2 linked regions of the Oryzias latipes genome follow. Each later gene encodes a partner of the first gene's protein in a complex. Links are inferred from orthologs where the notes say so. Each region holds a gene or a part of one and is shown in the gene's direction. Other genes may lie near its edges.

What was found.
Region 2: crcp (region 1) and polr3k share a complex: the UniProt entries of both Homo sapiens proteins name them as parts of the RNA polymerase III complex. The link is inferred for Oryzias latipes from reciprocal best matches to the Homo sapiens genes CRCP and POLR3K.

What each region holds. Positions count from the first base shown.
Region 1 is NC_019872.2:8,448,822-8,453,117, reverse strand, and holds the start of crcp (DNA-directed RNA polymerase III subunit RPC9), read left to right. Parts: upstream 1-1,288; 5' UTR 1,289-1,364; coding exon 1,365-1,372; intron 1,373-2,485; coding exon 2,486-2,522; intron 2,523-2,620; coding exon 2,621-2,719; intron 2,720-2,792; coding exon 2,793-2,887; intron 2,888-3,017; coding exon 3,018-3,075; intron 3,076-4,296. Other genes in the region: protein FAM111A, read left to right, coding at 1-428. UniProt on the Homo sapiens protein: DNA-dependent RNA polymerase catalyzes the transcription of DNA into RNA using the four ribonucleoside triphosphates as substrates.
Region 2 is NC_019866.2:8,138,479-8,141,836, forward strand, and holds polr3k (DNA-directed RNA polymerase III subunit RPC10), read left to right. Parts: upstream 1-1,555; 5' UTR 1,556-1,661; coding exon 1,662-1,772; intron 1,773-1,867; coding exon 1,868-1,955; intron 1,956-2,491; coding exon 2,492-2,619; 3' UTR 2,620-2,731; downstream 2,732-3,358. Other genes in the region: snrnp25 (U11/U12 small nuclear ribonucleoprotein 25 kDa protein), read right to left, coding at 265-355, 975-1,187. UniProt on the Homo sapiens protein: Core component of RNA polymerase III (Pol III) which synthesizes small non-coding RNAs using the four ribonucleoside triphosphates as substrates. Can mediate Pol I proofreading of the nascent RNA transcript.

The sequences.
Region 1 (4,296 bases):
TAACCAAGTATTTCTTTGCTGATAAACTTTTGAAATACGAATCTAGTTTTTTCGAAGGCTCCTCTGGCTCTCCTGTTTTTGACAACCACTGCAATGTGGTTGCAATGCATTCAGGAGGATTCACCTACGACAAAGAAGGGATGGAAAGACGGGCTGTTGTTGAATATGCCCAACCTCTGCATTTCATTTTGGAAGATTTTATTATCCAAATGGTGGAGGGAAAAAAGTTTGACGTTTTGAGAGAATATCTTGATTGCAGCTACACTCGAGGCACCGCCGTCAAAGACGGTGTCAAAAAAATAGTTGAGAGCAGAAATAACCAACGGTTCAAAGAAGCTGCAAGGAGCTGTGTGGATGACAAAGTTGTACAAACATTCCTTGAGTTTTTCTGCCAAACTGAGGAACCTGTCCCAATGGAGGTTGTTTAGGTCTCATCATCTCATTTTATAGTTATCCTGGGCTTGACTGCAGTAAAACAAAGAAATTCCAGCAGTGAAAAGCAAAAATTAAACGAAAGCTTTAAACTCAGCTTTAATAAAAGTTAAAGCTTTAATTTCTGCACTTATTGTTTACTTTATTGTTGCTCCAAGCAATTCACATGCACCTGTTTAATATAATTATGTGATTTTTCTGTCCCAGAAACATTTTTAACCATCACTCTCCAGTTCAGAGAAAAAATAATGCTGGAAAAAATCTGTTCACTCTTGTATATTTTACTTGTATGGATGTCCAATTCTTACATTTCAGTCTTGACTCATTCCTGTATCAAGTTCTTGAAAAGAAATGCCAACAAAAGGTTTCCTTTTTTTGGTTGTTTTATTATGTTTTGGGATTTATTTGTTTTTTCAAATATAGATTACTCATTACTCAGTGCAGTAGCATAAAATTCATTGTACTTTTTCTGTTTTTGTTTTTAAAAAGCAAAAAGTGTTCAATACTGTGTGCTTCAAATCATGACTAATGAAACTGTATTAAAATCTGATAAAAGTGACTTCTAGTGTATTCCTTTTTTGTTCCCTTACCCTAACAGTAAATGTTAAATGTTTAATATGTTTAAAATAACCCTCGATGTGTTCAGGGTGTACTTCACCTTCTCCCTGATGCTGCTGCATGAGGCTCTGGAAGTCCTTGTTAATTTCATTGAACTGTTTGGTGAAGGGGCTTTCGAATTTACACTTTTTGAGATACTCTTACATTGTTTTTCATTTTCAAACATCTCGGCAGTGTTTCACTTTTTTAAATATTTATTCTGTTTTCTCTGATCCCACGTTCTATGTAAAAATGCGTTTTTTGCTAGGCGGAACCAATATACTCCCCTATTTTCTACACGAACCCCTTTATTGTAACGGAACCTAAGAGTCGACATGGAAGTGTAAGATTTTTTTTTTAAGAACAAAACAACGGCTAATAAGTCTTTTATGTATATTTACATGTACAATTTTAATTGTGATCGATGGTAGTTTCGTGCGTGTTTCAGTTTCGGGTTTATTATGTGATGTTTTGCTTGTTCCGTTGGGATGATGCTGTCGGCCAAAAAATGGAGAGATGATGATCGACACACAAAACAACTGAATTAAAACATATTGAGTCCGGGAGACTTTGATCCATTTTGAAGAGTTTGCAGTCTACAAATGTTTTAAATTGTATTATGTTTGGGGACGAAGTTAGAGACGGGACAAAAGGTCGCGAAATCGTTTATAAACGTAAATTTCAGAAGATGGGAGAAACAAAAAGCACGGGTCGGATTAGTTTGAGTTTGTGTTATCAAATATTTGTTTCAAATCATGAAACATTCCATTTACAAACACATTCTGCGTTGGCTCTTCAATAATAAATGAATTAGTTATGACATGATGAAGCAGCTAAAAAACATTTTGTCATCTAATATAAGCCAACTCAGCCGCACTCCACAACATTTGTCAACTTGTCACTTGAGCTCTGATCTAATTCATATTTGCCTGAAATCACAAACTTAATTTTTCTAAATAACATTGAAGCAAAGAAATATGGGAAACAGGTTTGAATTTAAACAGTATTCTGTCTTGTTTTTCATTAGATTTATTTATATTTATCAAAAGTTTGCTTTTTTTAATTGTATTTCTTTTCTTCTTCAAACTTGAAAAACAAAAACATTTGCTAATATCTATTTCAGTAAGTTTCAACGGCTTTAAAATAATCTAATTGATGGGTTTCTAGTTTTTAAAAAGGGAAAACACAAAAAAAAATTATTGCTGTTCATTAAAGAGAAGATCTGAGGTTCCGATTAAGAAAATTTCGTTATATAAATAAAAATCAAGTAGAGAAATCCAGCCGTTCTTTTAGTAACACAAGGATGTGAAGATCAAATCACAGAAGAAAAATGTTTACTAAATATATAAACTACATGGGAAATATTCCAATCTTATAAAGCTTGTTTTGGTAACAGATATTTTAATTATCTCATAATTTAATGTTTAACAATTGTTATTTGGGTTTTTTTACACAGAAAAAATGCAAACGCGGCCATGCTCAGTAACTATGAGGTGAGACTATAAGACTGTCTATTAAGGGTTTTTGTTGATTTTCCTGCCTGGTAATGAAATTAATTATTCAGAAAAGCTAAATAATGTCTTCGTCTCAGGTATTCAAACTTCTCACCGACCTGAAAGAACAGAGGAAAGATGCTGGAAAAAGCAAACATAGCCTCGGGCAACAGGACCTCAACACCATCATGTATGAAGTGGGTACTATTCATACTGTCTGAGCTTTAGTTGTCAAATCCAGTCCATGTTCTCACCTGCATTTGCTTTCAGACTCTAAAGTATTTGTCAAAGACGCCATGCAGCAGACAGAGTCCTGAAATTGTCAGAGAGTTCCTCACCACCATGATGCCTCAGAAGCTGACCAAGTCAGTATCTAAAAGATAATATTTTTCACCCCTCTGGGGCTTCAATTGTAATTTCCGCTTAATAAATGATGTATAGTTTGGGGATAAAAATGTCTCAAAGTTAAAATTTTGCCATCTTTCTCTCTTTAAGGGCAGAAAAACTGCAGCTGTTAAACCAACGGCCTCAGAGTGCAGTGGAAATTCAGCTTGTAAGTATTTTTCATGTCTTTCTAAATGTTTTATCTTTTTTTCCTAAATAATTTACTCATGTATTCCTATGGTAGCTCTGTATAACAAATGAGATCTTTCTCATATTTGTATTTTTGTTAACTCAACCCAAAAAGGCTCAAATCTAACCCAAAACATGCACTTTTTCACATGCATCCATCAGCAACTTCATTTGTTACATGTAGATTGCCCTACAGGTTCTACCACTCTGGTTTTTTCATGCTATTCCTGTCTGCAGGGTTAGTTTGAATGGGCAATTCACAGTAAATCCAGGCTTGAGCCCATTCCTGTAACGCATTAATAATCTATTGAAGCAGCTATTACAAGACAATGTTAACAATACCTTATACAGCAAACCAAAAAGACCCTCATGACCCGTTTAAGCAAAGCCTTATTATTGCTTTAGCTAAGCGTTGAGGTTATGGCTGTGATGGGTTTAGAAATATTTAATCCTTAAAATGGGTACATTGCACTATTTGACTAAAAATCAAGTAGAGAAATCCAGCCGTTCTTTTAGCAAACTGAGTAACACCAGGATGTGGAGTGCAGACTTCTGATGCTGCTTCACTGGGGTGTGGTGTGTCCCGAAAAAATCTTTTTTAGCAACCAATAATTACTCACCTAAAGCCAAGTGTAGAAGGCTCCCTCTATTAAGAAATAATCTGGTTTCATAATGCAACAGCAATTATATATTGTCCTAAATCAGTTATTCTAGAGCAGATTATCTCTTAGAGTACATTTTAAAAAGTGAATTTCCAAAACTATATGGAGCCTCTTAAAGAACTGCACTCCCTGTTTACCATTTGTCTCTCTGCAATCTGTATCCTTTTAAAATAAAAATATTTTTTTCAATACAAAGCAGCTATAAAGCAGTTGTTGCAGTGAACACAAATGAGGCCATTTCCATTAGCATCCACTAACATGCAGTTCTAAAACTCAGCCTGCAGATGTCGCCCTTCTCACTTTTGAGATGCTTTTAACCCTTGTGCTATCTTAGATGACCCCACCCTTACATTGACGTGTTCTCCCTACCATGACAAAGGTGGATAAAGGTGGAAAGATTTCATGTAATCCATGGACACCAGTGAAGATCATAAATCATTGAAGAAAAAAGGTTCAGCGCACTGTCTAGTGGGTCTAGATGACCCAACTCCCAATGTTAAAGTGCCTAGGATAGCACAAGGTAAAGCAGTCCATCTCCC
Region 2 (3,358 bases), on another chromosome or scaffold:
GGTTAAGAACTGTCCAACACATTATGAAAAACTGGAGGGATAATGCGGGACACAAGAGCTGTGCACCCTTAAAAAAAAACCCACTGACCATTAAGGCCAACCAGAAAAAAAACGTTTGTCAGGGAACATTTAGATTGGACTCCAGAGCGATAGAAGAAGGTTATGAGGTCTGATGAGTCAGGCAGTGAACACAGACATAGTCATACAAACACAATATAGACACATACTAATTATACAAATCAGCTGGGAGACTTTGGAACTTACGCATGATTTCCCCATCTGCCTTAACAACCTTCACAGTCATTGCTTGCCCATACTCCAATGCAATCTGGGAGTTTACTTCTTCCAAAGTCACCTGAACACAAAAATATTGCAGATTGTGGATTCTCATCCTTCTAACACAGTAGAGGGTAAAAAAAAAAAAAATCAGTCAAATGGACTTGGTTAATCCTTTATAACTGCAGACATTTCATGTTTTCTCAAAGACAAATTTGCAAATACGAAAGATAAACCAGTTGTAAATAACAGATTTCTTTCTGGGCTTAATAATAAATGAGATTAAAAAAAAACAAATGTGATTATTGTATAATAGTCCAATGTTACAAGAGCAATACTGACAATACTAATGTTATGGATTATAACCTGTGTTTTTGTTATTTTTATTATGCATGTTTGGTACTTAATTCTAGATTAGAACATTTATTTCATTGCTATTCGTATATAATTCTTAAATCGTATAAACAGTTTCAAGAAGAAAAAGGAGAGAAAACATAAATTAGAGCTATAAGATTGTTTTGAAATTGGATTCGATTTGGCTTTTCAAGAATATATATGCAGCTATTTTCTGCTATGCAAATATGCCGTCAGACAAACCGGAAGAAGGACGCGTTTCAACTTTAGTGTTAAATTTACAATTTATGAAAATTTTCTTTAAACATCTGCCTGGTGTGCGGAGTGTGGTGTTTTTCTATGACCTGGATCGGCAGATCACACAGTAAAGGGTCCTGCACAAGTCGAGCAAGTCCCTCTTCGAAGATATCAAGGATCTCTGAATGTGGAAGAGACTCCTCATCTTCCTCCTCGGCATCTGGAGCTGTCTCATCAGCCAGCTTCTCCTCTTTCACCTCACTGTGACTGTGACTGTCCTGCAAACGATTCTCTCCTTCGTCGGTTTCCTGCTCCATCATCTATTATTGGTTAAAAATAAATACATTCAGTAAAAATGAAACCGCTTTCTCTTTTTTGACGCGTTCAATTAAGTACAAAAGATTCTTAAAATAATAATAATAGGATACTGTTTACAAAAATGTATCCCAAGACTGGTGTGAATTTTAATGCTGTGTGTCGCAGACCTTATACCGGTGGTATCATCAAAACATGATAAATAGTTCCGCTTATCAAAAGTAAGAACTTTTTTTCATGCGGCGGATGGTGGGGTTTTAAAATAATTATATTATTTATAATGTTATACATATATTTATACATTTATATACATTCTTTAACAATAACAATTTCATTTTTAACAAACGTTTTTTTTTTTTTTGTTTCCTACCGAGCTGTAAAACCGGAGCAACTGCTTCCGCTTTGCTTCTCCTTGCTAATGAATTTCGTAGTCGCTACTATCTTTCCCGAGATAGTTTTTCTTTAAATAATCTGGTAATATGCTTCTTTTTTGTCCTACTTGTGGAAACGTTTTAATCGTAGAAGAAGGACAGAAATGCTTGAGATTCGCTTGTAACACTTGTCCCTATGTGCACAACGTCACGAGAAAGGTACGCTCCTTTTATCACTGTCTGACTCTGACTCGAGAAACAAACACGACATTTCTTAGGGTGGTTTTTAATCTCAAACTTTTCAATATTTGTAGGTAAACTACCGAAAATATCCCAAGCTGAAAGAGGTGGATGATGTGCTGGGTGGAGCTGCAGCGTGGGAGAACGTGGATTCTACTGCAGGTAACAAACAAGTTTGTTACCAAGAATTAAAAAAAAACATGGATAGACTAGAGAATAATATAAAACAAAGGCCAAGAAAAACTAATTTGACTACTAAGACAAATATGTTCTCCATAGGAATAAATTAAAGTTTATTTGAAACAGTCCATTTGCGTGTTTAAAGGGTGTTAATAGTCACCCTTAGCTGCAAGTACACTTGAAGTTTATTTTATTAAGTGTACTTGGATGCAAGTATTGCACATATACTGCTGACCATGTAACGTGTAGGGAGTACATTAACTTAACACTTATTCTGACTAAATTGTGACATTTTATGTTTACTATATATAGACTGAACTTCAAGTACACTGCCTCACTCTAAGTATACTTGTAGTACACTTAAATGGACTACTTTTTGCTAGAGGCAGTGTTGCTGTGTGATGCTATGGCGAGTACCAACCTGAATGTGGGCCACAGAAAGAAGTTCAATCCGAGAACTAACTAAAATTCTGAACATGTGTGTACATATATGCATGTTTGCTTGTGTTTTTTCACAGAAACGTGTCCCAAATGCGAGCATCCTCGAGCCTACTTCATGCAGATCCAGACCAGATCAGCCGATGAACCAATGACGACTTTCTACAAATGCTGTAATGCTCAGTGTGGAAACAGATGGAGAGATTGAGCATTTTATTTCATTCACTCATTATTTCTAGTTTAAATGGCAATCAAAGCACATGTAAAGAATGTTTTGGACCCATTATTATTTATAAATAAAATTTGCTTTTCAGAATCAATCAACGGACAAATTCTTTATTTCAGAGCTTTTATTGATAAAATAATACCTGTGTACATCAGTCAATTCAATTGTCTTAGATGTTTGTATCTTGTTGCAGACATTGAGAGCAATGCATACCACTGGTTCCCACACGTTTATTTTCTATGCAATCCTTGAGCTCAAAATGCAATTTCTAGAGCAACTCAATCATCCTTAAGGTAAGGAAGAGAAAAAAAAATACAAATCTAGGAGCCAGCCAAAGAGAATCACTTATTTGGATGTGTAGCTCATGCAGACAAATTCTGCACCTCCAAAGCGTTGGTGAAAAATGAAATCGGACATGCTGTGACGGAACAGTGCTTTTACACTGTTAGTGGTTTATCCAATAAAAACTGTATTTTTGATATTTTTTTAGCTTAATCTGAAAAGACTGCTCAGTCAAGGCTATCGCTTCATCTAACATGCATTTATTTATGTCATAGATGACAAATGTCAAGATTAGGTGATCAATGCAATGATGGCTGCATCCCTTTCCAGCTTAAATACGGTTTACTACTTTCAAATCAGTGAGGAATCTCTACAATCTCAGTATCACAGAGATGGCATGTAGTGTTTCCACATAACCATGTCCTCGGCACACAAAGAC